4 linked regions of the Lonchura striata genome follow. The protein of the gene in region 2 interacts with the protein of the main gene of each other region in a pairwise test. Links are inferred from orthologs where the notes say so. Each region holds a gene or a part of one and is shown on either strand. Other genes may lie near its edges.

Evidence for each region.
Region 1: the proteins of ATXN1 (region 2) and DCTN3 interact in binary tests that used the Homo sapiens proteins (3 or more experiments, as listed by UniProt). The link is inferred for Lonchura striata from reciprocal best matches to the Homo sapiens genes ATXN1 and DCTN3.
Region 3: the proteins of ATXN1 (region 2) and ATXN2 interact in binary tests that used the Homo sapiens proteins (3 or more experiments, as listed by UniProt). The link is inferred for Lonchura striata from reciprocal best matches to the Homo sapiens genes ATXN1 and ATXN2.
Region 4: the proteins of ATXN1 (region 2) and CAMK1 interact in binary tests that used the Homo sapiens proteins (3 or more experiments, as listed by UniProt). The link is inferred for Lonchura striata from reciprocal best matches to the Homo sapiens genes ATXN1 and CAMK1.

The regions. Positions count from the first base shown.
Region 1 is NC_134642.1:40,926,179-40,934,154, reverse strand, and holds the start of DCTN3 (dynactin subunit 3), read right to left. Parts: upstream 3,009-7,976; 5' UTR 2,970-3,008; coding exon 2,877-2,969; intron 2,759-2,876; coding exon 2,674-2,758; intron 2,343-2,673; coding exon 2,256-2,342; intron 1,424-2,255; coding exon 1,340-1,423; intron 792-1,339; coding exon 733-791; intron 1-732. UniProt on the Homo sapiens protein: Part of the dynactin complex that activates the molecular motor dynein for ultra-processive transport along microtubules. Together with dynein may be involved in spindle assembly and cytokinesis.
Region 2 is NC_134603.1:90,444,698-90,452,435, forward strand, and holds the start of ATXN1 (ataxin-1), read right to left. Parts: upstream 3,006-7,738; 5' UTR 2,910-3,005; exon of another isoform or gene 2,669-2,909; intron 1-2,668. Other genes in the region: RBM24 (RNA-binding protein 24), read left to right, coding at 3,165-3,332, 3,867-3,990, 5,087-5,141. UniProt on the Homo sapiens protein: Chromatin-binding factor that repress Notch signaling in the absence of Notch intracellular domain by acting as a CBF1 corepressor. Binds to the HEY promoter and might assist, along with NCOR2, RBPJ-mediated repression. Binds RNA in vitro.
Region 3 is NC_134620.1:11,796,345-11,803,252, reverse strand, and holds the start of ATXN2 (ataxin-2), read right to left. Parts: upstream 3,002-6,908; 5' UTR 2,972-3,001; coding exon 2,859-2,971; intron 1-2,858. UniProt on the Homo sapiens protein: Involved in EGFR trafficking, acting as negative regulator of endocytic EGFR internalization at the plasma membrane.
Region 4 is NC_134614.1:15,394,021-15,400,963, forward strand, and holds the start of CAMK1 (calcium/calmodulin-dependent protein kinase type 1), read right to left. Parts: upstream 3,016-6,943; 5' UTR 2,740-3,015; intron 2,337-2,739; 5' UTR 2,309-2,336; coding exon 2,223-2,308; intron 1,485-2,222; coding exon 1,353-1,484; intron 1,123-1,352; coding exon 1,048-1,122; intron 980-1,047; coding exon 841-979; intron 749-840; coding exon 622-748; intron 528-621; coding exon 452-527; intron 358-451; coding exon 245-357; intron 136-244; coding exon 57-135; intron 1-56. Other genes in the region: TADA3 (transcriptional adapter 3), read right to left, coding at 3,683-3,875, 3,952-4,137, 4,270-4,379, 4,481-4,584, 4,736-4,877, 5,031-5,136, 5,304-5,554, 5,677-5,883; ARPC4 (actin-related protein 2/3 complex subunit 4), read left to right, coding at 6,526-6,528, 6,719-6,837. UniProt on the Homo sapiens protein: Calcium/calmodulin-dependent protein kinase that operates in the calcium-triggered CaMKK-CaMK1 signaling cascade and, upon calcium influx, regulates transcription activators activity, cell cycle, hormone production, cell differentiation, actin filament organization and neurite outgrowth.

The sequences.
Region 1 (7,976 bases), on a different chromosome or scaffold from region 2:
GAGCCGCAGTGCATGATCAATAAATAAGGTGAACAACATACCTCCCTTCCCAGTCCACGACAGCATGGCAGGAAACTCATCCAAGGCCAGCACTGAGATCAGTGCTCAGGCCCTGGCTGTGGTGCCCACTGCAGCTGGACAGGTTTTCACAATTAAGAGAAAACTGACAAACACTGGTCCCATGAAGCAGCAAACCCCCCAGGCTTGCACTGCTGCTTGCCTTTCCTCAGTATCCAGGCTTTGCTTGCCCCGGAACAGAAACTCAGAACAAAATGCTGAAAGAGACCATTAGGAACTGCCCAGGCTGCTCACTGCCAGCTCCAAGAGTGCTCATACAGGGAGGGAAAGGGTGAAGGGACAGGCTGACAGTGTCAACAACGTTCCAGAGAGTAGGACACTGGAGGAGAGCAATGCTTCACCTCAGAGTCTCAGTAAAAGGGGGAATTCAAGATGGTTAAACCAAATGTCCCTTACTATGTGTCACTGAAAGCTGTTTTGAGCAGGGTTATGGTGGGCAAATTTCCAACTTGGACCAAATTCACAGAAATCCTGGCTCCTTTTTCCCCTAGGAGTACTTAAAACTTCTTTAAGACTGTAGTATGAAAATTCAGATTGCAAAGAACTGCCATAAATGAGCAATTCAAGCAATTACAAATACTGGGTGTCAGTACAGCCACTTGTAAAAGGTTTCTAGGCCCTTCTACTCAATACTTATAGGAATGTTCACGGTACCTGCTGCTGTATGTGGATCTGTGAGAGCCTCTGCAGTTTGGCTGCATGGTCAGGAACCGCTGGAAGCACAAAAGAGAAATCAGTTTGGGCTGTTTTACAGCACATGGGATTAGCTCCCAACGTAAACCCCAGTCTTCCTCCATGAGCACAGCATGGCAGAACTCCACTTGCTGAGTGCAAGTGTCCCACACTATAGATAAAACTCACAGAGGATAAAAAAAATTACATAACTATCCTGCACATGGCACAAGCTCAGGGATGCCCACAGCGAGGGCTACTCACGAAACACACGGGACTAAACCACTGGCCAGAACAGATATTCTGGATGTAAAACAGCTCACAGGAAGGAATGACCTGCCAGGCTCCACCCCCTCTGCCACAGTGCTCTCTTTAGCCTGCTTCACAAGCTACTCTATCACCTCCATGACTTTGCAAGGGAGACTAGGGCAGCATGTGGCAGGAGCAGACTAACTTTGTACTCAGTTTACTTTCACACCACTAAGCTGTCTTCTTCTCTAGTCTCAGACTCAAGAGAAAAGAAAGCAAGCAGGACAGGCCACAGCTTAGCAGGTGGCATTTGCAGCTCCAGCTTGCAGAACATGCATACCTTGGATACTGGTGCTGTCCAAGATAGGCTGGAGGTTCTTCACTTGCTCCAGAAGGGCTGCACGGGCAGGAATAGCCTGTTCCTCTGGTTGTGTGGGGACAAGAAGCAACATCAGTAAACACAAAACACTGCTCTGGCTTTTCACTAGTGGTAATTTTCCCAGCTGATCTGTCTTTACAGAAAGGATTCATGATTTTTCATCACTTTTGTGCTGCTCATCCCTGGGTCTTGACTGACACCAATTTCAGGCAGGAGAATCTCCACCACGTTCTAATGATAGGACAAGGAGTGTACAAATGGAAAGAGGGGAAATTTAGGCTGGATATTAGGAGAAGATTCTTTACTGTGAAGGTGCCCAGGAGGATGTGGATGCTCCATCCCTGGCAGTGTTCAATGCCAGGTTGGATGGAGTCTGAGCAACCTGGGAAAGCTGGGGAAGGTGGATTGGGACTGGATGGTCCTTAAGTTCCCTTCCACCCCCTTAACATTCCGTGATTCAGTGGAATTCCACTGACAGATTATACTGGTCACGGGTTGATCAAACTCCTTGGGTCAAGAGAGGACAAGGCTAGGGGATGTCAAAACACACCCAATTGTCCCAGCCTGGAGAATACTGAAGTGGGGTAAGGAAATCATCCTAGCTCCCGCTTTTCTTACCAGCCTTTGATGAATTTGGGGCTAAATTGAATGATCAATACAGAAGAGATCAGAGCTGACAAAACTGCAGTGTGGCTGTGCACAAGGGAGCACTGAGGGTGACAGACACCCTTGTGCAAACCATCTCTCTGATACCTCCACAGGGCCTGCCGTGCCACATTTTACCACTGAAGAAAATAAATTCATCCTGACCCATCTTAGAGAAAGGATGCTTTATTTGCAGTGCTACAAAAGCCTCCTCTTTCCCCTCATCTCATACCTGCCAAGATGAACTGCAGCTTCATAGTGTCTGGAACAGCCATCCTGTCAATGTACTGGGGGTCAAGGTATTTTATTATATCTTCAACTGGAGGGATAAATAGGTTTGGAGACGAAAAGTAGGGAGATGTTATGGCATTCATAAGAGCAGCATTTCATGGAGAGCAGATCCTGACATGGGCAGATGGAAATTGAGCAAATAACAGGCTCCAGCCGCCCATTTCCCACTCTGCCTGCTGAGCTGGAGATTGCAAGCACATAAACCTCTCCCAGTTATTTATTTCTGTGCCAAACAAACTGAAATAAGCGCCCAAGCCAAAAAGGTGTGGGGAAGGTATTTTTGTTTAGAGCAGTGAAACTGTTTGGAGCTCCCCCCTCCCGCCCTCTGCGATCCCTCCCGTTCCGCAACAGCCGCTCACTCTTCTTAAACAGGATTTTGATCCTCTCCCTCTTGCCGGCGATATTGTTCAGCGCCACCTGTACCTTCACCAGCTCGTCTGCCACCTGCAGAGGCACAGAGGGAGGGGAGGAGGCTGTCAGGCCCCGCCGGGCAGCGGCACCCCAGGCCCCGCCAGACCGCACCAAACGGCGCCCGGCCGCTCTCCGCAGCTCCCCCCGGCACCTTTTGCGGCCCGCAGCCGCCGAGGCCGACGCGTTGTTCCAGCTCCTCCAGCCGCCACTGCAGCCGCCGCAGCTCCGCAGCGCCCGCCGCCATCTTCGTGCCGGGCGGAAGCGGCCGCGCCCCACTTCCGGCGCGCCCTGGCGGTTGCCATGGCGGCGCGTTGCTAAGGACCGCGGTTGCCATGGAGACGGGAGGGGAGGCCGCGTCTGGCGGCGCGGAGCCCCTCTCAGAGGATGCGGCGCGGTCGATGGCGATTTGCACTGCAGAGGGAGGCGTGCAGCCCTCCCGCTGCCTGGGAAGGCAGTCGATGGCCGCTTCATTCCGGCGTGGTCCTCCAGGAAAGAGGCGCTCAGATGTATTAAAAGGAATTGATATAGCGATCCGTGCGCATGCAGGCCCTTTGAAATGCGGGAGGCTGCCGCCGGCTTTCCCCCAGGCCTCTGTGTGCCCGCGTTCACCTTTCTGTTATTGATTGCCACAGGTGACACTCGTGAAGAAGAGAACTACTAATGAATGGTGCAGCCAACCCCAGCCGTGCCACTGCCTTCAACTGGCACTCACAATTACACAGACTTCTAACAGGGATAAAATTAATTCATAGTAGCTGCATCTGCCACAGAAAAAAATCCAGAGGGTTTCCCAGCTGCACAGCAAAAAGTATCTGAGGGTGCTTTAGGTAGACTGTAGCCAGCAAGTCAAGGGAGGTGATCCTGACCCTCTACTTAGCCCTGGTGAGGGCACACCTCAAATGCTCTGTCCCTTTCTGGGCTCCTCAGCACAAGAGAAACAAGGAGCTACTGGAGAGGGTCCAGCAGAGGCCACAAGGATGATCTGGGGTCTGGAGCATCTCTCTTCTGGGTATAGGCTGCTGGAGATGGGCCTGTTCAGTCTGGAGAAAAGACTGAGGGGATCTCATGAATGCATATAAATATATCAAAAATTGGTATCAGAGGGCATGGTGCCAGACTCTTTCCAGTGGTGCCCTGTGACAGGATGAGGAGCAATGGTCATAAAACAGAAGGAAAGACTTCATTATCCTGAGGGTGGAAGAGCACTGGAACAGCTGTGCAGGGAGGCTCTAAAGTCTTCTTTCTGGAGATATTCCAACCCCACCTGGATATGTTCCTGTGTCACTTGCTCCAGATCACCCTGTTTTGGCAGGGGGGTTGGACTGGGTGATCTCCAGGGGTCCCTTCCAGCCCTGATGATTCTGTGATTCTGTGAATTTTCAAAGCACATTCTGCTGTCATTCTCTGTATCCCAGGGCTCAGTCCCATCATGTACTGATGACTTCAGCAGTGCCAGGATGAACATGGGCCTGGGTTTTGCACTGCCATAGCCCAGGCACCAGGGAACATCAAGTCAAGGTTCCAGGCCACTCTTTAGATAAAAACCATCTCCTAACTGCAGGTATTTTGCTAACATCACTGATAATGTGGGAGGCATGGCTTTAAGGAACCCTCCCATTGCCCTTTGCTGAAAGCTAAATCTGCTGTGCCGTGATAAATCATTGTCCTTACAGGTACATTCCTACTGGGCATTGTATAGTCCTACCAGGGTGCAGGAGGGAGCTGTGGGGTGGCCCAGTGCCTCAGCAGCCCTTATGCTCCCCCAGCTCACCTGCAGGAGCTGTGCAGAGCACTTAGGCAGCAGGAGAAGGCTGAGGCTTCGTGTGTGCTGCCTTTTCTTCCCAGGGATCGATAACTGGGATCTTCAGAGGGTGAAGAGCTGAGCTTTGTTCCACAAAGGCGACAAATAGAAATGGCTTCATTAGCAGAAGCACCTGGGGGCTACAGGAGGGGCCAGGGGCAGCAGGAGGGCCGGGGTCTGTGCACACAGCGATGGTCTGTGCTTAGAGGGCACCAGCTCTACTGTGGCCTGGGCCCAGCATGATGGGCAATGCCCCAGACACACAAACACCTGTACTAGAGGGTCCCAGACTACCCTGAGCTGAGAAACTCAGGCAGTCCTGGGCCTCACGCACTGGGGGCTTTGGGACTGTCCTCATCCTCCTGTGGGAACTCAAAATGTCTCTCAGACATTTTTGGAGGTTCCAGGCCTTGGTCAGAGGCATTCTAGACCCCGGCAGGCAGCTGGAAACAGCTGTGATTTCGAGTTTGAACCATGGAATGAATTACCAACTTTGAAGGTGGAACAAGCAGTCACAAAAGGTTAGATAGTATAGTAAAAGTAGTTACAAAGTAGAGGGGAATTTTTTTTGGTATTGTACAGGGGGGTTTTAGCACATGTACAGGGGGGCTTTTACTTTGTACATGGGGATCAGAAGTTCTAAGATGGAGGAAAGTGGGCTGATCCTGTTCTTCCTCTTTCTTCTTCCTTACCTCCATGTTCTTGGTGATGTTGGCATTCACAGATTGGTTTAGAGTAGAAAAGCACTTGGTTATATAGGTAGTAGGTATTGGGGAATAATTGTAAACATGTTATACGTGATATATCTTATGAAAGATAGCAGCAGACCTGGGCGGGGGGAGAGAAGAAGAAGACACTGGGCAGTGAGGGTGTCAGTGTGTGTGTGTGTGTCTGCCTGGGCCGCTGATCAAACAGCCGCAGCCCAAGAACCCAATCTGTTAGATAACTAGCAATAAACTGCCTTGAGACCAAACAGCAAGAGACTGCAGAGTTTTTCTTTGGGAGCATGGGTTGGAGGAGAGACTTTACCACCACTTGAGACCCCAAACCAAACACGGTGTTCTCACATCCACCCTTTAGAGTTCCATCCATTTTGCAAGCCTTGGAATGGAGCTGCAGCTACAGCACTGATTGCCCACAGCCCAGCACATGGAGCCTGTTCCCTGCTTCCTGGGCATAGAAGCAGGCCTTTGACCACATCCCCTGGAGCTTGCAGGGGCACACTGATTCAATCACTTGCCCTCAGCTCAGTGCTGAAGCTGGATTCAATGCTCCATCGGCTGGGCTGGATTGTCCCCTCATCCTCCAACTACTCTCTCCTGCTCAATTACAGTCCCTGCAGGACATGGGGAAGCAGGCATCAATCACGGCTGTTACTCAGGTGACAGCAGCTGTGTCCCCAGGCTCCCCAGGGAGTACGGAAACACACATCACCCTCTGAGCCTGGTAATGAGTGGGGACGGGGCCCGCATGTGCCCTGCTGGTTCCCTGGGGCTGTGGTGCTCGATGAGCTGTGGCCAGCACTTCACAGCAGTGCAAAGGGACACAAGACCGCAATTAAGGCTGCATCAATCCCACTCCAGCTCTGCTTCGTTCACTCACAAACAAATCCCCCCCACACGCACACACATATGCCTTGTTCATGAACCTTCCTCCATCCCCAGTGGCCAGACCACAGGGGTCGACCCGCCAGACCACAGGTCCTCTGCAGGGGTGTCAACCCATGTCCTCAACACGTTTCCAGCGTGACACCCCACCCTCCGCGACACCCCCGTGTCCCGAGGCTGGGTCCGGGGCGGGCAGGGCTGCTGCAGCACCCTGGACAGCGACAGCACTCCCGGGTGGGCTCAGAGGTCCGGACTGGGGGTGCTCCCTTGCCTTGGGAATCCGCGCTGGGATGTCAGCGGGAGTCCGGGCTGTGGCTGTCTCCGAGGGGCTGTTCTGGGAGGACTGGGGGCTGTCCTCGAGGGGCTGAGTTGGGGCTGTACCTGAGGAACAGCAGCTGTTCCCGAGAAGCTGTGTGTCCCCAGGGGTCTGAGTCTGGCCTCGGGGAGGGGGCGGGGTGGGGACTCAATCAGGAGTTTCTGCCCCCTTGGGTGCCAGGGACCTATCTTCGTCGTTGCCTCTAGCCGGAGTGTCTGTCCCCACGGGAGCCCCTGTGCCTGTTCAGATGTTCAGGGGGCTGCACACGTGTGGCAGTCCATGTGTGGGCATGAGTGTGACAGTCTCAGAGTGCATGCCATTGAATTTGTACAAGGGAGTACACATGACCACCCACATATGTGTGTGCCTCCCAGCTCCACCATGGTCACCTGTGTCCTCTGTGGGCACTGCTCATGTGCCAGGTTGGCGCATCACTCCTGGCATCTTACCAGGTCCAAACTGACACCCCCATGGACATGGTCTCAGCAGCTCCAGTGTCATGTTTCCTTTCCTGCACAGGGCAGCCTAATCGGATCTCCACTCATGGGTGAGCTGCCACTGAGTGCTCATGGGGGCTCAGCCAGGCTCATGGACAGCCTGGCTGGCACAGCTGAAACTGGTGACCTGTCTGATCCAGCCCACGTCTGCGAGCTCTTGTGGGCATAGGGCACTTGTTTGCAACTCAGAGTTCCCAGAACCTGAGCTGGAGGCAAGCATGAGTTGGGCTGTGAAACCTCAGGCACTGCAGGTGTTACCCCAGGGTATCACAGGCTGTTGGGATGTCCTGCACCTCCATCTGGGCCCCGGGGCTCGGTGGGTGGCACCATGCCCTGCACACAACCCTCAGCACCGTTTTGGTTCAGGAGTTAATTTCCTTTAATAGATACATGGAGTCGCGTGGTTGCGGTGGGAGTGCGGGGAGCAGGCCAGCGCCGCCGAGCCCCCCGTGCTGAGGTAGAGGTGAGCGTTGCTCCACACTCACCTGCTTTGGCACCCTGGGGTACACGTGGGTGGAGGAGGCGCCCGCCCAGCCCCAACGAGGTAGTTCAGAGTGCCCTCTGTCTCCCTGTCACCCATCTGGAGACCCTGGCACCCAAGCAGTCTTTGGTGGTGGTGGTGGTGGGGGCTCTACTGGGCAACCCTGCCCTCCCCCACCAAAAAAACCCACCCCGACATAAACCCCCTACCCCAGCCACACCCCAATAAGCTTCACCCCCACCATTCCCACCAATATCCCCATTATTTGCCCCCCCCCAGGGTGATCCCCCTGAGCTGAGGACCTGGGGGGCTCAGATGCCACCACCCTGGGGGTATCTCAGGGCAGGGACAGCAAGCCCAGGCAGCACAGGAGGACTGGGTAGGGGCGTCTGCAGTGGGTAGGGGGTGCAGTATATATATCGGGGCTGCAGAGTATAGGGGCTACAATTTACAGGGGCTGCAGCATATCATGGCTGCACGGAGGGTGTGTATGGAGAGGTAAAGTGGGCACCAAGGGCGTGTGCAGGGAATACAGTGAATGCATTGAGG
Region 2 (7,738 bases):
AAGACACAAGCCCCAATCAGTCCCGAATGTTTTCACAACAAGTAAATCAGAAAGAACTCCCTCCCTAGGCTGTACATGGTAACCTCCTTTGGATTAAGACTAGCCCAAAATCTGGAGTTAATATATGGTATAGGAGAGAAGCATACAATATATTCCTGATCATTAAAGTGTTCAAATGGTCTTCAGTTAATTTCCATATGACAGAGGTCACCCTTCTCTTTGGGTAACCCTAAAGTGATGATTAAGACTGAGATATGTATGGAAAATATTTTTCTTTCTGAGACCTGCTGAGGGAGTAGATAGCCTGGTGCTAGTAGAATTGTATCAGCCACAGTTAGGTCATAAGATCATGCATCCAGGAGCTGGAAGCCTGTGTTTGTTTTTCACAGGTTATGCCACGCAAAAATAAAGGCTTGTGTTGACAGTGAATGGGCTAGAGGAAGTTGCAAATGATGAGGTATCACTTCTCTGGGATTTAGGTAAGAATTCCTAGGAATTCTAAAGCTGGAGAATCATATCCTAGATTCTATCAGGACCACCAAAACAGAAAAAGGTCTGATGCTAGAAGGGATGTAAGGTAAAACTAAGTTTTGAGAAATTATCCTTCAATAGAAGGGATTGTTCTCCTGTGATGGTGTTAGTGGTACAGTTCAGTTATAGGAATGAATGGACAAAAGAACTGTATTTATTCCTAAATTTTACTAGGATGGTCATCTTAAATTGAGGATGCTAATACAGTAGTAGGACTGTAGTAGCATGGCTTACAGGATATATTTTGATCTGTTAATGGCCAGCTTCACTTCTGGTTTTACAGAAGAGGATGTGTTAGCCTTTCAGAGAAGGTTGAAAACAGTATTGCAGCACAAACACAGGCTGCATGATGAACCCTACCTAAATACAAGAAGTTTGTCTTTTGTTGAGACATAGGTGTGAAAAGTTAGGGTTTTTTCCAGAAAAAAAAAAAAAAAAAACAAAAAAAACACAACAGGATTTTTTTCTAAATCCTGGAAGACCTGCTGTTGCTGCTACCTGGAAGACCTGCTGTTGCTAGACCAAAAAGCCAGGTTTTGAGTTTGGGTCTGTCAATGTCACCAGTCTTCCACTTGGGCTGAAAAAAGTGTACTTCTAAATACATCTGCAAGTATTTCTGGGACAGACAAATGTTGCTTTTCTGGCCCTAATAAAGGAGTTTGTGTAATGACTGGAAAGCCAGGCTAGCTCACCCTTTCTGCAGACACCGCAAAACACTCAGGAGTGCTGGGCACAGCAAGAGAAAGGAAACACGATGGGGTGGACTACATTTGGATTCAGATGAACTTTTAGAAGTTCATCTTCCAGGTCCACAGGGGTCTGAGATGTTAAATACACTACTAAGTGGGCTGTGTGCTGCAGGGCTCCATTGAGCACTGACACCCTTAGCTGAGCTACTATTTAAGTTCAGGTCACTGGGCTAGAGTTTAAAGTTACAATTAGCCCTCGGAGTGTCAGGTTTAACATAATATTCCAGACCAACAGGAGAGTCAAGCTGGTAGACTTTTGGAGACAGAGCTAACTGACCTAATCGAATTCAGGTGAATGTTAAGGGCTTGTCATAATTTCACTTGAAAAGTAACATTTATGTCTCATCCTGTGGTTCTGCTAGATTTCACTTGAGTTAGTCTTAACATGTTAAACCAAATTTAATCTGGAGAGTCTGAAGCGTCAAGTAAAGTTTAGTGACAGCATGGCTTAGGACTGGTATAGGTATAGGCCATTAGAACTAGGAAAACTACTGATGCAAAAATCAAATGGAACTAAGGTTAGACATGGGCAAACAGGGCCTGAGTTTAGGGCTAAGTACTCTCATTATGGTCAATGTTTGGTACCAGAAGGGCAGAAGAACTTTGTGAAAGTCCATCCTGCAAGTGATGCACTGCTCTTTTTTCTAAGTGAGAGTGTCTTCATAAGGAAAAGCCTAGCAGACTAGGCTTTCTTCACCACCTAGAAGGTGGTGAAAGAGGAAAAAGAGACACACAGTACTTATCAAGACTTTGGGACTGCAAGAGAATGGTTTAGAAGTCTGTACACATATGCACATCTGTTTTCCCCGGTTTTAACCTTCTTCCCATCCTTCCGGTCTCTCTGTGAGTCTCCCTTCCCCCCAACTCCCACAGTCCTATGTCTCTTCATGTCACACAGACATTCCTTTATTTATGTTTCTGTTCATCCTTCCCAGTCCCAACATTGGGCAGAGGCAGCAAGAGAAGAGGAAGAACAAGGGAAACAGCTTTACCATTTTTTTTTTTCATCTTGTGACCAAAGAACATCAAGAACCACAACCACCAGCACCACCACAATAAAAATGGATGTGTTGCAGCACCATAGTTTTGCTAGCCTGGAGAGAGCAGTAAGTGAAGAGGTTTGACGACAAGCCTTCGGGGAGGGATCGAAGCATTTGAGGACCGCCAGCAGCCAGTGAACCGGCTGTGCCCGCGGGCTCTCTGGACGGCCGGGCACCGCTGACCCCACCGGACCCCATCACCCGGCACTTGCTGTTTGCAGCAAACCTGCCTCGAAGGGCACCGGGCGTCCCCCGAGGGGCACCTCAGAGGCCGCCCCTTCGCCGGCCGCGCCGAGGCCCGGCTGCCGCCGCACGGGGGGCACCCAGCTGTTGCCAACAGCTGTGTGTCAGCCCCGGCCGCGCCGCGGCCGAGCGCGGGGTCCGCCCCGCCGCCGTCCCCGCCCCCTGCGAGGAGGAGGAGGAGGAACCGAGAGTGACCGACCCGGTGGCTTTTAGGGGGGAGGCCACTCAGTCGTTAGAGCCCAGGCCCTGCACTCCTCTTCCAGCTGCTGTTTCTGCTCGTTTCCAGCACTACAGCCGCCAGGCTGGCTGCTGCCCGGCCTCCCCTCCTCTTTTTGCCGGTACCTACCTCAAAACCGCCCGAGGCTGCGAGGCTCCGCTCTTGAAGGAGGAAGAAGCTGGGTCTGCAAAGGCAGAAGGGAATTGCATTGTAGCTGGGTGGCGGGGGGAAAACGGGGGGCGGGGGAAGAGAGGAGAGAGAAAAAAAAACAAAAAGGAAAAAAAGAGCGGGGCTGAGTCTGGAAGTGGGTCTCGCCGCCCAGGACCCGCACACCCCGGTGGCCACGCGTGGGTGCAGATCGCGGCGCGCAGGGCCGGGCTGAAGATGCACACGACGCAGAAGGACACCACTTACACCAAGATCTTCGTCGGGGGCTTGCCCTACCACACCACCGACTCCAGCCTGCGCAAGTACTTCGAGGTCTTCGGGGACATCGAGGAGGCGGTGGTCATCACCGACCGGCAGACGGGCAAGTCCCGGGGATACGGCTTTGTAAGTGCCGGGGCGCGGGGCAGGGCGGTGGGCGGCTGCGGGAGGGCATCGCGGGGAAACTTCCGCGGGGGCCGCTGTGAGAGCTCGTGGGCCGGGAGGGGCTGCCGAGCGTCCGGTTTTTTGCTTTTCTCTCTTCTTTTTTTTTTTTTTTTTTTTAATTTTTTTTTTCCTTTTTATTTTTCTCTCTCCCTGCTGGGGAGTTTGGATAGAGGCGGGGTGGGGGGGATTACTGAACAAGGAGATTGAGGGGGGGACTTGCCTAATTCCTCGCACACCGCCGGCGCGCCTGTTGCTCGCTGATACGGCCGCTGCGGGGTTTATCTGCCGGCGGCCGAGCTCGGCCCGCGCCCTCCGCCCTGCGCCCGGCGCGGCTCCCGGCGCTGCGCTGCGCTCCGCTCGGCGGGCGGGCCCCGGGCCGGGGTCCGGCCGGCGGCCCCTCGGCGCCGCCCGCGGGTAGGGCCGGGTCGCTGCTATGGGCGGGAGGCTTCTCCTTCCCCGCGGAAAGGGATCTAATGCGCGGCATCGCCCGTTAAGGTCACCACGGCTGACAGAGCTGCTGCCGAAAGGGCTTGTAAGGACCCCAACCCCATCATCGATGGCAGGAAAGCCAACGTGAACCTGGCGTACCTGGGTGCCAAGCCGCGGATAATGCAGCCAGGTGAGGAAGCAGCTCCGAATGGCTTTTCTCTCCATACCTCAGGTTTCTGAAGAGAGTAAAACTTCAAAAAAAGGTAGTGCTGCCCTCCACCTTCCTGAAGTACGCACACAGTTGGGCGTGCTTTGGTTTTGATTTTTTAAATGCAGCATGTAGTAATTTTCTGGCTATTTTGCACATGTGCCTTATTTAAAAAACAAAAGCAATCAGAGATAAAATATCTGGAGTTCCCCAGGAAGACTTCCACAGCTCAAACACTTCATTGGTTATTCCTGCTGCTGGGAATGTGGTGGCGCTGACCATTTACAGTATCGTTGCAGGGTAAGATTGGCCTAGGAGTGACTCGCTTCCAATGTGTGCGGTCTTATTAACACAAACATTAAATATCTTAATACAAACTTCTCAAACATATGGGAGCAATTATACAGATTTTAAAATGAAATGGCTTTTCCTAAGACCACTTCTGAGACAATCTGATTTCCTAGCCACTTCCCAGACTGCTGGGACACTTGAAGCAAAAGTAAGAGGAGCATGGAGTGTGTGCACATTTATGCTCTAAAGGAGGTCGTTCTGAATTCCCTCATGTTTAGCCTGATGAACACTTGTGCGAGTAATTAATTGCCTGCCAGTAGAAGACAGGGTTTCTGCTAGGGTGTCTGGAGAGCAGAAATGAAGTTGGGATTTGACCCCCTATGCTAAGTCCTGATGAGTAGGGGTGACTTAAATTTTAAGTCTGTAGAAATTGCACAAATAGACTGATGAATGGAAAGTACCATCCAGTCATTCAGATGCTAAAGTTAGGGATCCAAATGGAGCACCAGGTAAAATGTGAATGAAAACCCTGTACTTGTTTAGAAAACGTCGTTTTCCTAAACATCTCTAGGAAAGCGTGTGCTTTACTGGTTTAAGTTCTGTGTGTGTGTGTGTATGTATTTTGCTTTCTAATTTTTGGTTCTACAGCGTTTCAGCTATTGTTACTGCAGGCTGTTAGTAAAGGCTCTTACTCCGCATTTTTTTTGTGTGTGTGTATATATATATAACATAAAGAAGTGGCCGAAAAAACAACCATACAGAGAATATGATGTGTTTTTGTTGGTAGGTTTTGCCTTTGGTGTCCAGCAGCTTCATCCAGCTCTCATACAGAGGCCTTTCGGGTAAGTCTCAATGGGATCTCAAAGAGGGGAGGAAATAAATCTTTTTTTTCAAAAAAAAAAAGGAAAGAAAAGTATGATCGTTGAAGGCCTCTTACAGTAGCATCCTTAAAGCTGGCCAGCAATGCTGAAGCTCTCAGATTTATAAATGTATACTCATAAATGTGCTCACCTTGTCGGTCATGTTCTAAATGCCGCAGCTGAGTCAAGTTGTGTGGGACGTGGCCCTTCCGCCTAAGCAGTCCAGTCCCACATGACCCTATGATAAAACAAGGAGGAATAATTTGATGCAAGATTGCTGTGCCCCATTTCTCTTTTTTCAGCTTGACTCAATGTTATTTATCTCTTTCTAATCTGACAGGGATCGTTTACAGTTAAGATAACTGATCAGAAGGATATGATGATAAGAGGTGGAATAGTTCTGTTTGGAATTAAACTCTGTAACCAGTAGACTCAAACACAAACAAGCTAAAATGGTGATTAACGATGCATGTATGTTTTTTTCATATAGTCAATAGACCTCCGTGTGCTTTTTTTTTATTACAGTAATGAAGTGGTGTTGATAGCTAAACTGTGTGCTTTTATTTAATTGAAAGAGCTGTAGTGAAAGTTTTTTGGGGGGGATCTTTTTTAATTTTGGTTTTGTTGTTGAGGAGTGACTTTGCCATGGGGAGCAAAGGGCCTTTTTTTTCCTTGCTTTCAAGCTGTAGCCTGTGACTTTTTTAACCATATTTTGTAGTGAGTGCTATCTTGTGTGATTTCTTGATTTTTAAGTAAATCAACATATTGCTTGCATGTTCATAATTTTTGGGAGGTTTGTTCTTGGGAAGGGTGTGGATCTCCTTATTAACGATGTGCGTCCATTTGGGCTTTCTAATTTGAGGGGATTTTTTCTTCAATCTGTCATTAATATGTAGTGCATTTCTCCTGAATTTGAGTATAAACTATTCCTAAGTGGATCTAACTCTTGCTTCTTATAGGCATATCATTAGGAGGTGAAGTCTGCTTTAAGCTTTCCATAGTGTCACTTCACTAATGCACAGTGACTGAGAAACTCATTGCAAAATAGTGCATTCTGCTAATAAATGCATAAGCTAACAATATAGTAGGGAAAATGTGTTGCAAATGTAGTTTATTTGGTTAGACTGGCTTTAGAATATCATACTTACCTGTTATGAAACGACAACAGCTTCTCAGTAATTTAATTTGTCAGAATGGAAGGAAACAGTTCTTATCCTGAAAACAACAGGAAAAGGTTTTTCCTAGAAACTTCATGTAATTTTAAAAGTGTGTTGATTCTTCTGAGAGTGGGGAGGCTGTAAAAACATTTTTTCTGTTTTTTTTTTCTACCTTGTTATGATCATCCTCTACTGTATTTTGCTTGCTTCTTTGAAGTGTGAGATGACAATGTATATGCACTGATCAGTTTATGATGCCTGCACTAAGGCAGGCAGGAGGCAGAACACCTCCTCTCCAGAGCTATTAAAACATTTGTTGAAAAGGGAACTACTGAATTGTGCAGGGATCACAGAGTCTTTGCTGAGCACAACAGAAAAGGAGGATCTGTGGCAGTCCCTTGCTTAAAGGACTCTGCAAATGTAGGAGTCTTTCTTGCTTTCCTTACCCAAAGCCAACAAGAGATGACATAAACCATGTTTAAGTCAGGGAGATCCTTCCAGCAAGCTGAATGAGGTTGGATTTCTAATGCATTGCACATAAATCTGAAAGAATGTTGGTCACGGAGTCATGTTTATATAAAATTGGTAATTTTTCATTCTTGACTGTTGCATTTCTTTCACAATGTGTACACAACAGAGATTACCAACCCTTCTTCCTCCTCAAAATTTCCGGTGATCTATACCTTTATCTAAAGTATGTGGTTCAGATTAAGGAGAACAGCAATCATTAGGATGAATTAACATCTTCATTCACTTAATTGACAGTAAGAAAGGATGTTTCAGTGCTTATTTGAATCTCCTTCTGTTGAAGAGTTCACTTCTGCTGTGTGGTTTGCATTGAAGTACATGGTCATCCTAAAACCTTTGTTCTTCCTGTGCAATTGTACTTTGGAAGCACACTTCCCTAATACACTCTGTGAAACCAGCTGTAGTGGTGATTCACTGCCAATACTCAGCTAATCCATACACAAAAGCTTCAAATGTTTTGTGGTTGAGTTTTGTTTTTTTTCCTAACAGTGCAAATTAGTGAGGTGCTGCCATATTTTGGTACAGTCAGCTGTGTTTTAGAATCACAGCGTCATAGAATGGCCTGGGTTGGAAGGGACCTTAAAGATCATGTTGTTTCAACCCTTGCCATGGACAAGGACACCTGTCCCTAGACTATGTCATTCAGAGCTCCTTTCAGCCTGGAATTGAACACTTTCAGAGATGGGGCATCCACAACATAAGGTTTCACATCTGTCAAACAATAAACTTAAAATAATTTGATTACATTACATTTACTGAGAAGATGCAGAAGTTCAATATTCTGACTGAAGTACAATACTGTTGTGGTAGAGGGAGACAGAAACTAGATTAGCTTCAATGCATGATGCATTTAAAATGCAGGGAATTTTTTTATTCAGTGCTGCAGAATAACAT
Region 3 (6,908 bases), on a different chromosome or scaffold from region 2:
CCTTAAATTCCAGCACCTTGGCATTCAACATTCCCCTTCCCTTCCCTCTGAACAGGATAGTCACCATGCTCTCAAGAAAGGGATGTCAAGGAAAAAGAAAAAGAAACGGAGGCAAGAAGTTTGTGTCTTCTTTTCTTTTTTTTTTTTACCATGAGGTGGTTTCAGTTTTAGCTTTTTGATGGGAAAAATACATTTTTTTTAAAGGACAGAAACTCTGTGTATTCTTACAGGATCCCCCAAGCCCAGTTAGGCAAGCAAGTTACCAAAATGAAAAATCCCTTCTGCCACAATTGTAACAAGACAAGAAACATCCAAACCCTGACCGTGAGGTGTTTTATCTTCAGATAAAATAACAATAGGGAAAAAAGGAACAAAAAGAGGACGGAGATGGAGGAGGGCTGTGATAGATGCAACTTGCAGCCAGAGGACAGCTAACCCTCCTGTGCTTGCATAACAGCAAAACTCCGCTCAAACACAGAAAGTAGATGTTAGATAATGTTCTGATAGCACAGGGAGCAAGTTTGTGAACCAAGTCTACATTCTCCCTAATTACAGCTTGCTGTGCTATTGGCATCTCCCCTGCAGCCCAAGCCCATCTGCCATAGTGCACATTAAACAAACACAGCACTCCACTTGGGGCCTCTTTTTTATCTCACACACCTTCAAGGATGCCTTCATTTCTGATTTTTCCCTTTGTCCAAAAGCAATTAATAGGACAGTAAAAAAAACCACTGCTTGTTCACATGGGATTTTACCTTTTCTAATCTGAAATACAGATGTGCAGCAGTATGAACCCATGGAGACAAGGCAGCGAGCAGAGCTGACCCTTCCCTCGTGATCAGAGGTAGGAGGACAAGTGCTCAGCCCAATTCTTCCAGTAACAAACCCACAGCAGAAAATGAGGCCCAGGACAGTTAATTATCAATGACTTTTCTGCCCAAACTAAGCTTTCAAGAGCAACTTAGCCATGAAAAGTAGTATTTTTTTTATTTTTTTTTTCTGCACGGAATGTTGGTGCTGCAGGGAAATGAGCTGCTGGGCAGAAAGCTTGACATACACTGGAGATGTTCAAGTTTTTATTAAAGAATACAATGCATCAAATTGATACCAAGATGCAGGACACCTAAATTTTCATTCACGTGGCCAGATTTACAGAATGAACCATATCTGAATTTGCACTCCCCAGAAGTCCAAGGACAGCTACAGGGGAAGTCCTCTGAAGGTGTTCCATGGGGCTCCAGCAGGCCTGGGACTGTGATTTTACAGACCCTCCATTCAGAAATAACTTGAAAAATTAAGAAACAAAGAGCATGAACCCTTCTGAGGGAACACATCAGCTGTTCAGCAGGCCCATCAGAACTCCTTAGGGAGTTCTGAAGTGGAATTTATCCAATAGAACCAGAAAGGCAACACTGGGAGGAGAAATCTAGTGGCTTTAATCATAAACTTGGGAGAGAATTCAAAGATCTCATGTCCAAATCTAAGGGGGTAAGTGCTTGCCATCAGGCTGAATTTAAAAAAATAAGCTGGAGGTTTTGTTGCCCTTCACGTTAACCTCTACAGTGCCACTGTGTGTTGGCAGGGACAGAGCCCAGTAAACATCATGTCCCACCTAATGCCATATGTAAAAACTATTAAATCGGTGCTGTGAGCTGCTGAGGTATTGTTGTTGTTATTTATTTTGTCCTTTTCAACCCTTCCAAAGCTCTTCCGCTTCCAGTTCCACTGGCTGGGAACAAAGTAAAACCCTATTTCCAGTGATGTCCAACAATGGGGCCACTGTAAATTCTGTTTTATTGCCAGTGCCACAAAACCGAGTGGGATTAAACGTCCAGTTGTGAAGAGGAAGATGAATAAAACTCGAAATGAAACTGCTCTGAGCGACTGTGACCTTCAGAACTGTTAACGTCCTGCTCTGATCGTTTGTTATGACCCCCGCAGCCCGGGAAAAATTCACAGCACTATGGAGTTTATTATTTGAGGGGAAAGAAAGGGGGGAAATGTGAGTGGATTTGCGTAGCTAATGATCTGAGAGCAGGAGCAGGATCAATCTCTCAGAGGCAGCGAGCGTGGGGGGGAGGCGAGGAGCGGGCTCAGCCTCTGCAAGATTCCTGCCCCAAAAATCTGGGAGAAAGCGAGGCCGCGCTCGGAGCCACCATCCAGCGGCGCGGCGAGGCCCGCCTTCCCGCGAGAATTTTATTGTGATTTCCATTATTTAAAAAAAATAAATAAATAAATAAAACAAAAAAAAAAAAGCTAAAAAAATTTTACAAATAATAGCGATCCCCAGATATTAAAATAAATTTTAAAAACACAATTATTTTAATATCCCCCTTCTCCCCGGGTGAGCCGAGGGCGCTGCGCCGCCATCGCGGGGCCGGATCGCCGCCCCCTTCCCCGCCCGGGCCGCCCCCCGGCCCCGCCGCCATCGCTCGCGGCCCTTCCCGCGCCGGCCCCGACACGTGCGGCCCGCGCCCCCCGCTCCCCCCGCTCCCTCCTCAGCAGGCGGGTCACGTCGGCCCGGGGGAAGCGGCGCCCCCCGCCCCGGGCCCCCGCGGGGGGCCGAAATGGAGCCTCGGCGCCGTGCCCTCCCCGCGCCTGAAGGGCACCGGCCGCGGCCCGGCCTCGCCCCGGCACTGCGGAACCCCCTCGGCGGGGCCGCGAGCGCCGCGCCCGCCGCCATCGCGGCCCCCGCCCCGGCCCCGCCATGCTGCGGGCCCCGCGCCCCCCCTCCCTGCCGGCCGCCGCCGCCCATGGAGGCCGGTGCGGGGCGAGGGCGGGGGGGAAGGGGGCGGCGGGGGCGGGCGAGCGGCGCCCGCGCCGGGCCCGGGGCCGGTCCCGTGGCACTGCGCACCCACCTGCCCATGTTCTGCCTCCCCGCGGCTGACGGGAGGCCGGGGCCGCCGCCGCCGGGGGGCTTGCGGTTGTTGCCGGCGGGCTGCGCCGCCGCCGCCGCTTGCTTGAGGGACATGGCGAGGAGGGAAGGGAGAGCGCCGGGAGTCGCGCCGGGCTGGGTGCGCTCGGCCGGTCCGCGCTGCGCTGGCGGGGCCGGGGCGCCGCTGGCTCGGCCGGTTGCTCCCAAACAGTGCGAGCGGGGCGGAGGGAGCGGAGCGCGGCGCGGAGGGATCCGCGGAGGGCGGGGGGGGGGGGGCGGGCGGCGGCCGGGCCGCGCCGCGGGCTGAGGGCGGCGGCGGGGCCGGGGGGCGCGGCGGCCACAGCCGCGGGCTCGGGGCACCCCCGCGGGGCCGGCGAGGGGCGGCGGGGCTGCGGCGGCGGGCGCGGGGCGGGCGGCGGCGCGGACTCTTTACGGGAAGTCGGAGGGCGCGGCGGCGGTGCTGCGGCGGGTGAAGGGGCGGGGAGGGAGGGGGGGACACGTGAGGCGGCGGCGGCGCGGGACGGCGGCGGCGCCCGCCCGGCCCGGCCGTGAGGCCCCGGCGGGGTCGGGGGAGTCCCCGAGCCGGCTCAAACCCCTCCGGTGACACCGGCGGGCCGGCCCCGCACGGCCCACGGTGTGCGGCGGTCCCCGCGCCGCGGGCCCGCAGGCCGCGGCCTGGTGCGGCCCGGCCGCGCTCGCCCCTCCCCGGGCCCCAGCGAGCGGCGGGCTCGGCCCGCAGCGCATCGTTCAAAAGAAACCAAGCGTCCAGAGACGACGAAATGGAGGAAAAATGGCCGAGCCCCGGGCGGCTGCGGAAGGCCGGGGGAGGAGGGCAGGCCCTGATCCGCAGAGAGCTGCCAAACACATCCCTGCTCCTGGGGGAAAGCAAGATGGGGCCGGAGGATGGCTGCTTTCCCTGCAGTGCCCCTCCATCTTACACATTTCGGAGCAGTCACGGCTTCCCCTCCTAGTAATGAAATTTAAATTTGCATTGCGCCGATGGGTGAAATCTTTACGCTCAAGATGCCAGTTCTCCCCTCACTCCGTGTTACCTGCCCACCATCGGCAGGCTCCCTGCAGAAATCCAGGGTGCTGTGGTTGTGAACCTGCTTGGTGCAGAGTGGGAATTTCACCAAAACCAAAACCCATACACAAAAATAAAGCCTGGTCTGGCCTATTAAAAAAATAAATAAATAAAATAAATGCACATACAGGATTAGTAAGAGCAGATGCAACTTGAAAACCAAGAGCTAAATTGATTTATAGCCATGGTTACTCGAAATGCTCAGAGTTTAATCTATTCATAGAAATGCTCTAGAAATCCCACAGGATTCCAAAGGAATAAAAAGGAGCAGTGCTCTTAGGCAGGCATTATTTATACACCTTGCTCCTAAAGCAACAGCTTTCCCATGCGCTTGGAAGAGTTGTGGGTGGCAGCACACAATGGTAAAAAGATAAAATATTGAACAGCTTTCTTAAATTAGCATTTTCCTTACATTTTACCTTTTAAACTGATTGCTTTGTTTTACCTCACAGGCTCAAGTAACCTTGTGGTTAGCACTTTCTAGGCTAGATGACAGATCCTACACCGATGGGCTCAGCATTGAGTTTTCCCATAGAAAATACTCTTAACAGAGATGGTGATTTAAAGAAATTTCATTTTTTAATCCTTTTAGTGAACTCACAAGATGCTTCACTATTTCACAGCCACAGAACTGAGTGAGAAGGACACTGAGGGTTTCTGGAGCCAAAGAGTTTCTGTGGAAGATGTCAGCACCTGCACAGCCAAAGGTTACCACTGGCACCAATTTTGGGAGCATTCACTGTAAGAGCAGGAATCTGGTTCACTGTATGTGATAGGATAAATAAATTCCTAAAGCTGCTAAGAAAAATCCTTTATATATATTTGTGTAAAACACACTAGCATGAAAAAGCAATATAAGACAATATATAACAATATAGTAGTAGTAATAATAACAACGCTAATGATAATAATAATAGTTGTAGTAGTATATAGATGTATATAAAAATCTAAGAAATATATAGGGCCCAAAAGAGGCTATGAAGATGTTGAGGGGTCTGTGCAGGGCCAGGATTGGACTGGATGATCCTTATGGGTCCCTTCCAACTCAGGATATTCCACAAATCTGTGAACCAATCTCTTTAGGCTGCTCTTTTTAAGTTCTACAGCTTTGGATTAGTCATGAACCTTGAGCAACTTTGAAAAGGAAGTTGTTAATAAAAAGCACAAGGAAGTCTGATAAGAGAGTGAGTAGAACTCATCCAGGTCACTCAACGTGGGGTTTTTAGAAGATATCACTTCAATACTTCTCCAGCCTGGAATGTTCACAGCTCACAGCACTTAGTGACTATTTCTGTGGCTGAAGATTAAGGACCACAAAAGCACCTGCAGCAGTTTGAAGGGGCTGTGGGGCAAAGATGGAGCCCTTGATAGCCAGAAATGTCAAAAAATACCTGAACCAAGTTCCACAGGCAGAGACAGTTTCTAAGACATTACATGAGCACACCAAAGTACATTTTAGGGTGACATTACGTGCTCAGAAAGCAGGGTATGAATGGGCTGGCATTCACATCCTCAGTAATGACTCAAGAGCAGTTGCAGTTTGACTTGTTTTCCCCTTCAATGTATTCTTTGTTTTCTTAAGCTCCGTTTGGCTTTCGTTGTGCCCTCCCTTTTTTCTTTGTTGAGCATCTTTATAAAAAAGCAGGTTAAAAGTAAATATAGAAGTGATCATTTAATATAGCTCAGCAATTACCACCAGAGAAGCTACAGGGTGGTTTCCAGTGGCAGCCACCTTCTCCAGGGACACCTCCTCCTCCCCAAATTCCCAGTATAATGGGATTCTACTGTTGTTAGGGCACATCATTGCCTTTACCTCTTCCTGAATATGCTTTTCTTGATAGCCCACCATTCCCAAGTTATTATTTTATGGCTTGGTTTTATCAATTTCTCACCCTTTTTTTTTTTTTTTTTTTGCTCTTCCCCACCATTTATAGCTGACATTTTGGATGTCATTGATGTGACAAAAAGCAGTGAACAGTGGATGTGGTGGTTTAGCTGGAGAAAAATTCAGGATTCAATCAAGAAAGCAAGGAAACAATTCCTAGTGGAGAATCATGCTCCCTTTTGCCTCTCCTGTCCACGATCCAGGTCAGAGCTGCTCCTTTCCAGGACTGCTATTTCCCTCCAGATGTGTGACGACGTGTGCAGGCTGTATTTGCATGTGGAGATGAATGAGGCTGATAATAGCAGCACTTAGCAGGAAGTGCCGTGTGATGTAACATTTCCTTGATCTAACCTGCTGTTCGTCTTGTGCTCCCTTCCCTGAGCTACCCAGGGTGATCCTCAACAGCATCCAGCAAGACAAAACACGCCTGGGTACACGGGGACAGCAGCACAGGCACAGGGGTTTGCTTTAAGCAAAATCAGCTGCTGGAGAAGCTCAGAGAGCTGAGCTTTGTCACACACGTGTTTTCCCTGAAGATTTCAGTTCTTCGGTGCCATTATCCCCACCCCTCCTCTCGGAGGGTAAAGCTTTGTGGACAGTGCTGTGAGCACAGGGATCTCCAAACACTTGGAAGGATATTAAGAGAACAAATCAGGTGCTGACACACGGCAGAGCTTCCCAGAGAGATACGATGTAGCCCGTCACCAAAGCTGCCCTCAGTTCTGACTGAGGACACACCCCTGGCCAGACCAGGATTGGTACCACAGCAAAACCAAACCCCAAATTCCAAACCAGCCACGTGGAGCAGCTGCTGCCACCTCTGCCTTCCCCCCTTACCCTGATCTTCCCATTGCTTCCAGCTCCCAAATTCCCAGCTCAGCTCTGAGCGGAGACCAGCTCCCATCAGATTCAGTTTTTGATCTGCACTTGCAGTTTTGTTGCCATTTCTTCCCAATCCTCAGCCGTGCAGCCAGGGCATGGCTGATGGATGTCCCTGCTGGGCCATGCATCCAGCTGCTTCTCCTGCAACCAGCAGGAGATGAAGGGAAATGCTGATGTCCACG
Region 4 (6,943 bases), on a different chromosome or scaffold from region 2:
GGCTGCTGTGGGGTGAGCTGGAGAGGGGGGCAGACAGCAATAGGTCTCCCCATTACCAGGGATGCTGCAGGGCTTGCTCACAGGTGAATCGCTTGCCAGGGTCCTTCTCCATCAGGTGCTGGATGAAGTCCTTGGCTGGAACACAGCATGGAGCAGCTCTCAGAGCCTATGTCCACCATTCCTCTGGATACTGTGAAGCTGCGCTAGGTTCACAGGTCCCACTGCCCTGGTGGTCCCAGCTCACCTGAGTCCGAGATATCATCCCAGTATGGTGAGTCAAACTCGTACTCAGCCTGCAGGATCTGCTCAAAGAGCTTAGCATCGTTCTCGTCATAGAAAGGAGGGTAACCACAGAGCCTAGGGGGGCAGTGGGGAGGGGGCTGCTAGTCCCAGGCAGCCCCAAGGTGCCAGGCCCCCAGGAGGGGAAGGGAGTGGGAAGGGGGATACATACAGGATGTAGGCGATGACTCCGATGGACCAGCAATCCACTGCTTTGCTGTAGGGCTTCTGTGCTAGCACCTCAGGGGCTGGGGGGGATGGCAGCGGTGAGGGGGGACCCCAACCTGTGGGGGGATCCCAACCCCACACCTAGGGTGGTGGCAGCCCATGGTAGGCACTCACCCACATAGCCAGGGGTGCCACAGGCTGTGGACATGACACTGCCACAGCCCTCAATCTTTGACAGCCCAAAGTCACTGATCATGATCTTGGAGTCCTCATCCATGCTGTAGTAGAGCAGGTTCTCAGGCTGTGAGGAGAGGAGGGTAGAGGGAGGGGTGACACTGGGGTCTCCTGCCCGGTGCCAAGACAGTGCTGTGTGTGCCCCCCTCAACTGCTCACCTTCAGGTCACGGTGGACGATACCCATGTCATGCAGGTATTTGACGGCATCGAGGATCTGCCGGATCAGGGCGCTGGCGTCCCGCTCAGTGTAGAAGCCCTTCTCCACGATGCGGTCAAAGAGTTCCCCCCCCGAGACCCTGCAGGGACGGGCAGCACCTGTCAGCATGGCCCCCCCGCCCCTCTGGAGCCCCACAACGTCACTCACAGCTGCATGATGAGGTAGAGGTGGGTGCCACTCTCGTAGATGTCATCCAAGGCCACGATATTGGGGTGCTTGATTCTGCAGGGGGAGGCATAGGGGGGTGGTGAGGGGGCACTGGGCTGCCCCCACCCCAGCCCCCAGGGGACAGGGAGCAGCCAGGCTCCACGCCGCAGGTCATCACGCGCCGCTGGCTATTTTGGGCACTGGCAATAACAGGCGGCAATGAGTGCTGGCAGTGGGGGGCTGTGCCAGGTTGGGGCGGGGGGCACAGAGTGAAACCCCCACCCTGGTGCTGGGATGGCCCCTACTTGTGGAGGACGGCAATCTCGTTCTCAATGCTGGTCTCCTTTCCCTCCAGAGCCTTCTTGGCAATGCACTTGATGGCCACGAGCTTCCGCGTCGCCTTCTCCTCCGCCAGGACCACCTCGGAGAAGGCCCCCCTGGGGGGGTGAGGGATGAGCAGGGCACGGGGACCACCAGCCAGAGCTGCCAATGCCGCCATGCCATGATTGTCATGGTGACAGGCAGAAAGTCCAGCTATTTATAGGAGAAAAGCAAGCAGGAGTGGCTGGCTGGGATGGCCGGACGTGGACCCTGGCAGCGAAAGGATGCCTGGAACCCTCCGCCCTCCCAGTGTGGCTGCACCATCCCCATATCAGGCAGGGTAAGGTTGTGGTGTTGCCAAGGTCAAGCTGTGCTGGGCTGAGCTTCCATGCAGGTTGCAGTAGCTCTCCACTGTGCCATCCTGTAGCACCTAGGGCCAACCAGGCGCCAGCCAGAAGTGTTGGCAGTGCCCAGGTGGGAAAGAGACAGGAGGGACAGGCAGTGTGTTCGCGCTGTGCTGGGCCCTAATCCCCGACATAATTAACCTGCTAATCCAGCCTAAGAGCCTTACCATGGGGTTCTGCCAGGAACCCCTCTGCCAGCCAGGGGACCACCTTCAGGTACCCTCAGCACAGCCCAGGAACTAGCCAGCGCCAGAGGGAGGTGGCACCTGTGCCCCACAGGTACAAGTCCCACCTTGGGCCAGGATTTGAGCTATTTCAGGACATATGCAAGCCCCACCTTGGGCCAGGATTTGAGCTATTTCCACATGGATGGTTGTGCAAAGCCTGAGGGGCCAGACCCATCCCTGTGAGTGGGCTGTCAATAGTGTGTCACTCCAGTCTGCAACTCACGTGCCCAGGACATCTCGGAAATCATAGATCCGCTGAATATCCTCGATCCTCTTCTTCCAGCTGGGCCCATCCTGCCCCAGCGGCATGGTGCCCTGTGGGGCAACTCACTCCCACCTGTGACACGAGTGGGACAGGCTGTCAGCGTGCTGGGATGGCATAGGGACACGGGGATGACAGGGTGCTACAGGGAGGTGGTTGTCATCGTGGGGTGACGGGAACAAGCTGTGTCGACGCAGGAGTTCTGGCGTAGTTTGCCCCAGAGGGGGAACACGCTGGGACCCTCCCGATGCCCGCCCATGGGGCGGATGCGGGGCGGGCAGGCAGCAGGAGGGCTCCCGACACGCGCGTAGGTGCACGGGGGGTCCCCACCGCCATTCCCCACGCCCGCCGGGCGGGACACGCGTGGCAGCAGAGCTGCGCGGCGCGGGTGATGCGCGGCTCCACCGCCGCCGCTCAGTGTCACGGTGGGAACGACCTCCGCGCGTGGCACGCCGCCCCCGCCCCGGCCCGCCCTTACCGACGGCCGCGGCCCCGGGCCCCGCGGCGGAGCGGCGGCGACTCCTCCCGGCGCGGCGCCGCCGGACAGCGCTGACGTCACGGCGAGGGGCGGGCAGCGCGCGGCCGCTGCCAATGGGAGGGGGCGGCTCGGCCGCGGTGCCGGGGGGACACGCGTGACCGCGGGCGCGCGTGGACACGCGGGAAAAGCGCGGGGAGGGAGGGCGGCAAGCGCGGCGCGGCGTCACCCACACACCACCCCACCCCCGGCCCACCGCGCGTCTGTGCTGAGGATGCGAGGGCATTCCTCGGGTAGGCACGAGTGGAGTTGCAGGACAGACACAGCCCCGCCACTCCTCATCCCCCTCACCTCCCCAGACCGAGCCCACCCCCACAGCCGGGCAGGGCTGTCCCCCAATGTCACCACACTGTCACCTGCACACGGCTGCCTTTATTGCCGGTGCTCGCGGCAATAGAAACCACCGGTACATGGAGAGCTCGGCCACCCACCCACCAGACCCCTCATCCCTCCAGCCGCTTCCCCTCCCCACTCCCCCCAGTCCACCCGTGGGGCTGGGATCTCCCCCTGCCCCGCATCACAGAGAGGGACAGGGGACCGTGGGAATCGCACCATCACAGCCGCCACATCTGGCCCCTGCAGTGACCTGGCTGATGTCACCCGAGTAACAGGGGAGTGTAGGGCGGACGTGGGAGTGGAAGCCACCAGCCGGGGTGGGGGTGTTCAAGGGAGGGACCTCGGCAACTCCACCGGGTGCCCAGCTTGGATCAGTGACAGCCCTACACAGGGAGAGGACAGCAGCTGGGCTCCTTCATCCGAGTAGGGAGGCTGACCAGACTCAGGGCATGGGGGAGCTGTGCCAGTTCCATCCCATGGTGGCAGGGCTCAAGCAGGGCAGCCCCCTGCAGGTGAAGTCCACACAGAATGGGGGGGTCCTTGGTCCCTGCTACCCATCCAGCAGCTTGAGGATGCTCTCCCGCTCCTTCAGGGTCTTCCAGGCCTGGTCCTTCTCCTTTTTGGTGGGCGTGCGCTTCTTCTGCCGGGCAGCCATGATCTTGCGGAATGCATCCATCACCTCGTTGTCAGCCATGCGGACACGCTGCCGCAGCTCCTGCCGGTGCAGCTCCTCCTTGGCCAGCCTGCGGGGCACAGGGGGGCGTCAGGCCCTGCCAGGCAGCCCCCTGCCCGCACCCATCCCAGCCCGCTCGCTCTCACCGCAGCAGCTCGTGTTTCTTGGTGCGGTTGTGTGCGCTGAGCGCCTTCAGCTCTGCCTGCCTCTTGCGTAACTCAGCCAGCACCTCGTCCTCCGAGTCCTCAGCCGGACGGTCCTCTGACTCCAGCAGGCCCTGGGCTACCAGCTCCTCCTTGATCCGCCCCTCCAGCGACTTGGTGTGGGGGACACTGCCGGGGTGAGAGTGGCTGCTGCCTACCACACGCCCTTTGCTCGCTGTGACTCACAGTGGCAGGGAGCCAGCAGCGTGCTCGTTGCACCCGCGGGCAGCGCTGAGCTCTGGGCCCGCCTCAGCTGCTCACCTGAAGGGTTTGTTCTGGCTGCGGGGAGATGTGCCAGCACCGTCAGCTCCCGAGTCCTTGCCAGTGATCTCAGGGATGGGGGAGTCCTCAACAGGGGAGATGATGTTCTCCTAGCAAAGGGAGCACGAGGGAAGTGTTACAGTGCTGGGTTTTGGCAGAATGCTCTATAGTGCCAGACCACCATGGCCATAGTGCCATTGGAGCCCCTCACCTCCACAAGGGCCTGCAGGAGACGCTGTGTCAGGGGACCAAAGGGACATCCATCCTCTGGCTGCTCGTGCTGGGCTTCTGACTTCTTCAGGAGGGCATCAACATCTGGGAAGAAGCGGGAGAGGGGAAAAAGCAACCCCAAAGGCACAGACATGAGCAGTGGGGCAGGGCTACCTCAGCCTTTCTTGGGCTTGGCTCCATTGGGCACAAGCCCTCCCAGCCCCTCAGGGCAAAGGCAGGGGTGGGATTGGGGCACCTTTAGTGTCCAGCTCAGTCAGTGGCCCCAGGACACCTTTCTTCTTGTCAGCAGCAGCTGCTGCCCGGGCTCCATCCTTCTGCTCCTCCAGCAGGTCCTCTTGTGCCCAGCGCTGGGAGTAATGCTTCCCCAGTGGTGGAATCTGCAAGAGCAAGGCTCAGCACAGCTCCTAGAGCCTCTGCCTTGCCTCCCACCTCACCAGTGCCATGGCAGCATCCCAGGCACGAAGAGTCACTGTGAGGTGCCAGAGGGGATGGGGAGAGAGGGCAGAGGAAGGGGCTTAGGAGCTTTTCACCTTGTAGTGCTCAGCCTCATCCTCTGGCGGCTTGAGCAGCTCCTCCAGGACTCTGACCTCCTCGTTGGTGAGATCGGCACAGTACGGCTCCACCGATGCCCAGAACCTGCAAGAATGGATGAACTGTGAGAGGGAGATGCAGGGGGGCACATGGAAGGTGACACATGTCCCCTTTCCCCCTGTGGCCTCTTCTCTCAGGCTAGAGGTAGCGCTTGTGCCATGTGCTCCAAAGAAGGAGAAAGATGATCCCAATGCCTCCCAACACCCACACACCTGTTTGGAGCATCATTTTTGGGGATGCGGGGCACATCAATGGGGTCATCCTGGAATTCATATTCCTGGATCTTGGGCTGCAAGTTCTTAGACTTGGGCCGGCCGGGCCCAGGCCCAGTCCCATGGCCCCCTTTGCCCTCCAGCTTCTGCTTCTTGGGCTTCCCATGTTTTACGGATGTGCCCACATCGTGGTCCTTGCTCAGCTTCAGGAACCGCCGGTCGCCCTTCTTATCCTGCCAGTCCGTCAGGATCTGGAAGAGAGTGGTGTCCCATAAGATGCTGTGCCCAGCGCTGGGCAGGGGCAGACCAGAGGCAGCCCCTTGGTGGAAGGAGCCAGACAGAGACTGTCCCCGGCTCAACGCGGCCCCAGCACCTGTGTCTCAGCCTCCAGGACGCGAAGGCGGCGGCTGGCAGAGGACAGAAGCGTCTCCAGCTCCAGCTGCAGCGTGTCCAGCTCCTCGATGCCGATGCCATCGTCCTCCGAGCGGGCCAGCACGGCCGTGTACCGGGGGCACACTTTCACGTGGTCCACCGACTTGAAGTCATGGAACTGCAGCGGGCAGTCCTTCAGCTCGCTCATGGCGGTGGGGACCGGCACGGGAACACGGGGGAGTGGGGGGCGGGAAAGCCGGGAGGGAATGGAGTGGAGTGAGGGACTACGGAGGGTCGGGGGGCATCGGGGCTCTGCGGAACCCGGGGCAGGGGATCACCGGGGCGGTGAGAAGAACGTGGGGAGAACCACCAGGGCGCTGAGGGAACCCGGCGGGGGGGGATCACCGAGGAACGCGGCGGGGGTCACCGAGGGGGAGCGGAGGGAGATCGCGGGGGCTGCGGGGCCGAGGCGGGGGCGGCCCCGGGCGCAGCGGAGGCCGCGGGGCCGGGCCTGGGCCGGGCGCCCCTTCCGGCCCCGCGGGGGCCCCGCCCCCCGCCGCCCATTGGCCGCGCCGCGCCGCGCGCCGCCGCCCATTGGCCCGGCCCGCGCTCCATCTCCCTTCCCTAATATGGAAGCGCTGACAGGCCCGTACCAACCGCGGCACGGCGCGGGGGGGAGCCGCGCGGAGTCTCGCCGCCGCCACCCGGCTCCGTGCCGCGGGGGGGGCCAGGCCGCAGGGCGGGAGCCTCCAGCCGCCCCCCCTCCTTGCCGCCGCAGTGGGAGGCGCCGCGCATCCCGGAAGAGGCGATCAGCCACTTCCGCCTGGCCGGCCGGAGCTCCGCCGCCACCATGGTAGGGCGGGGGGCGCCCCGTGAGCGGCGGTGGCGGCGGGGAGGCTGGGGAGGGTCGGGACCGGGACCGCGGCCGGCGGAGTGAGCGGGGCTGAGGGGGCTGCGGGCTGCTGGTCGGGGGCTGGGGCAGGGAGCGAGACGCGACCGCCGGGCTCCGGTGGGGGTCTGACGCCACCGCCGTGTCCCCGCAGACCGCCACGCTGCGCCCGTACCTGAACGCGGTGCGCGCTACGCTGCAGGCCGCGCTGTGCCTGGAGAACTTCTCCTCGCAGGTGGTGGAGCGGCACAACAAGCCCGAGGTGGAAGTCAGGTACGGGGGCGGGAGGGAACACCGAGAGAGCCCTGCCGAGCCCTGGTTGCCCGCCCTGGGGACCGCTGGCCCGTTCCTGCCGTGCACTGGCCACCCCCGGCCCTTA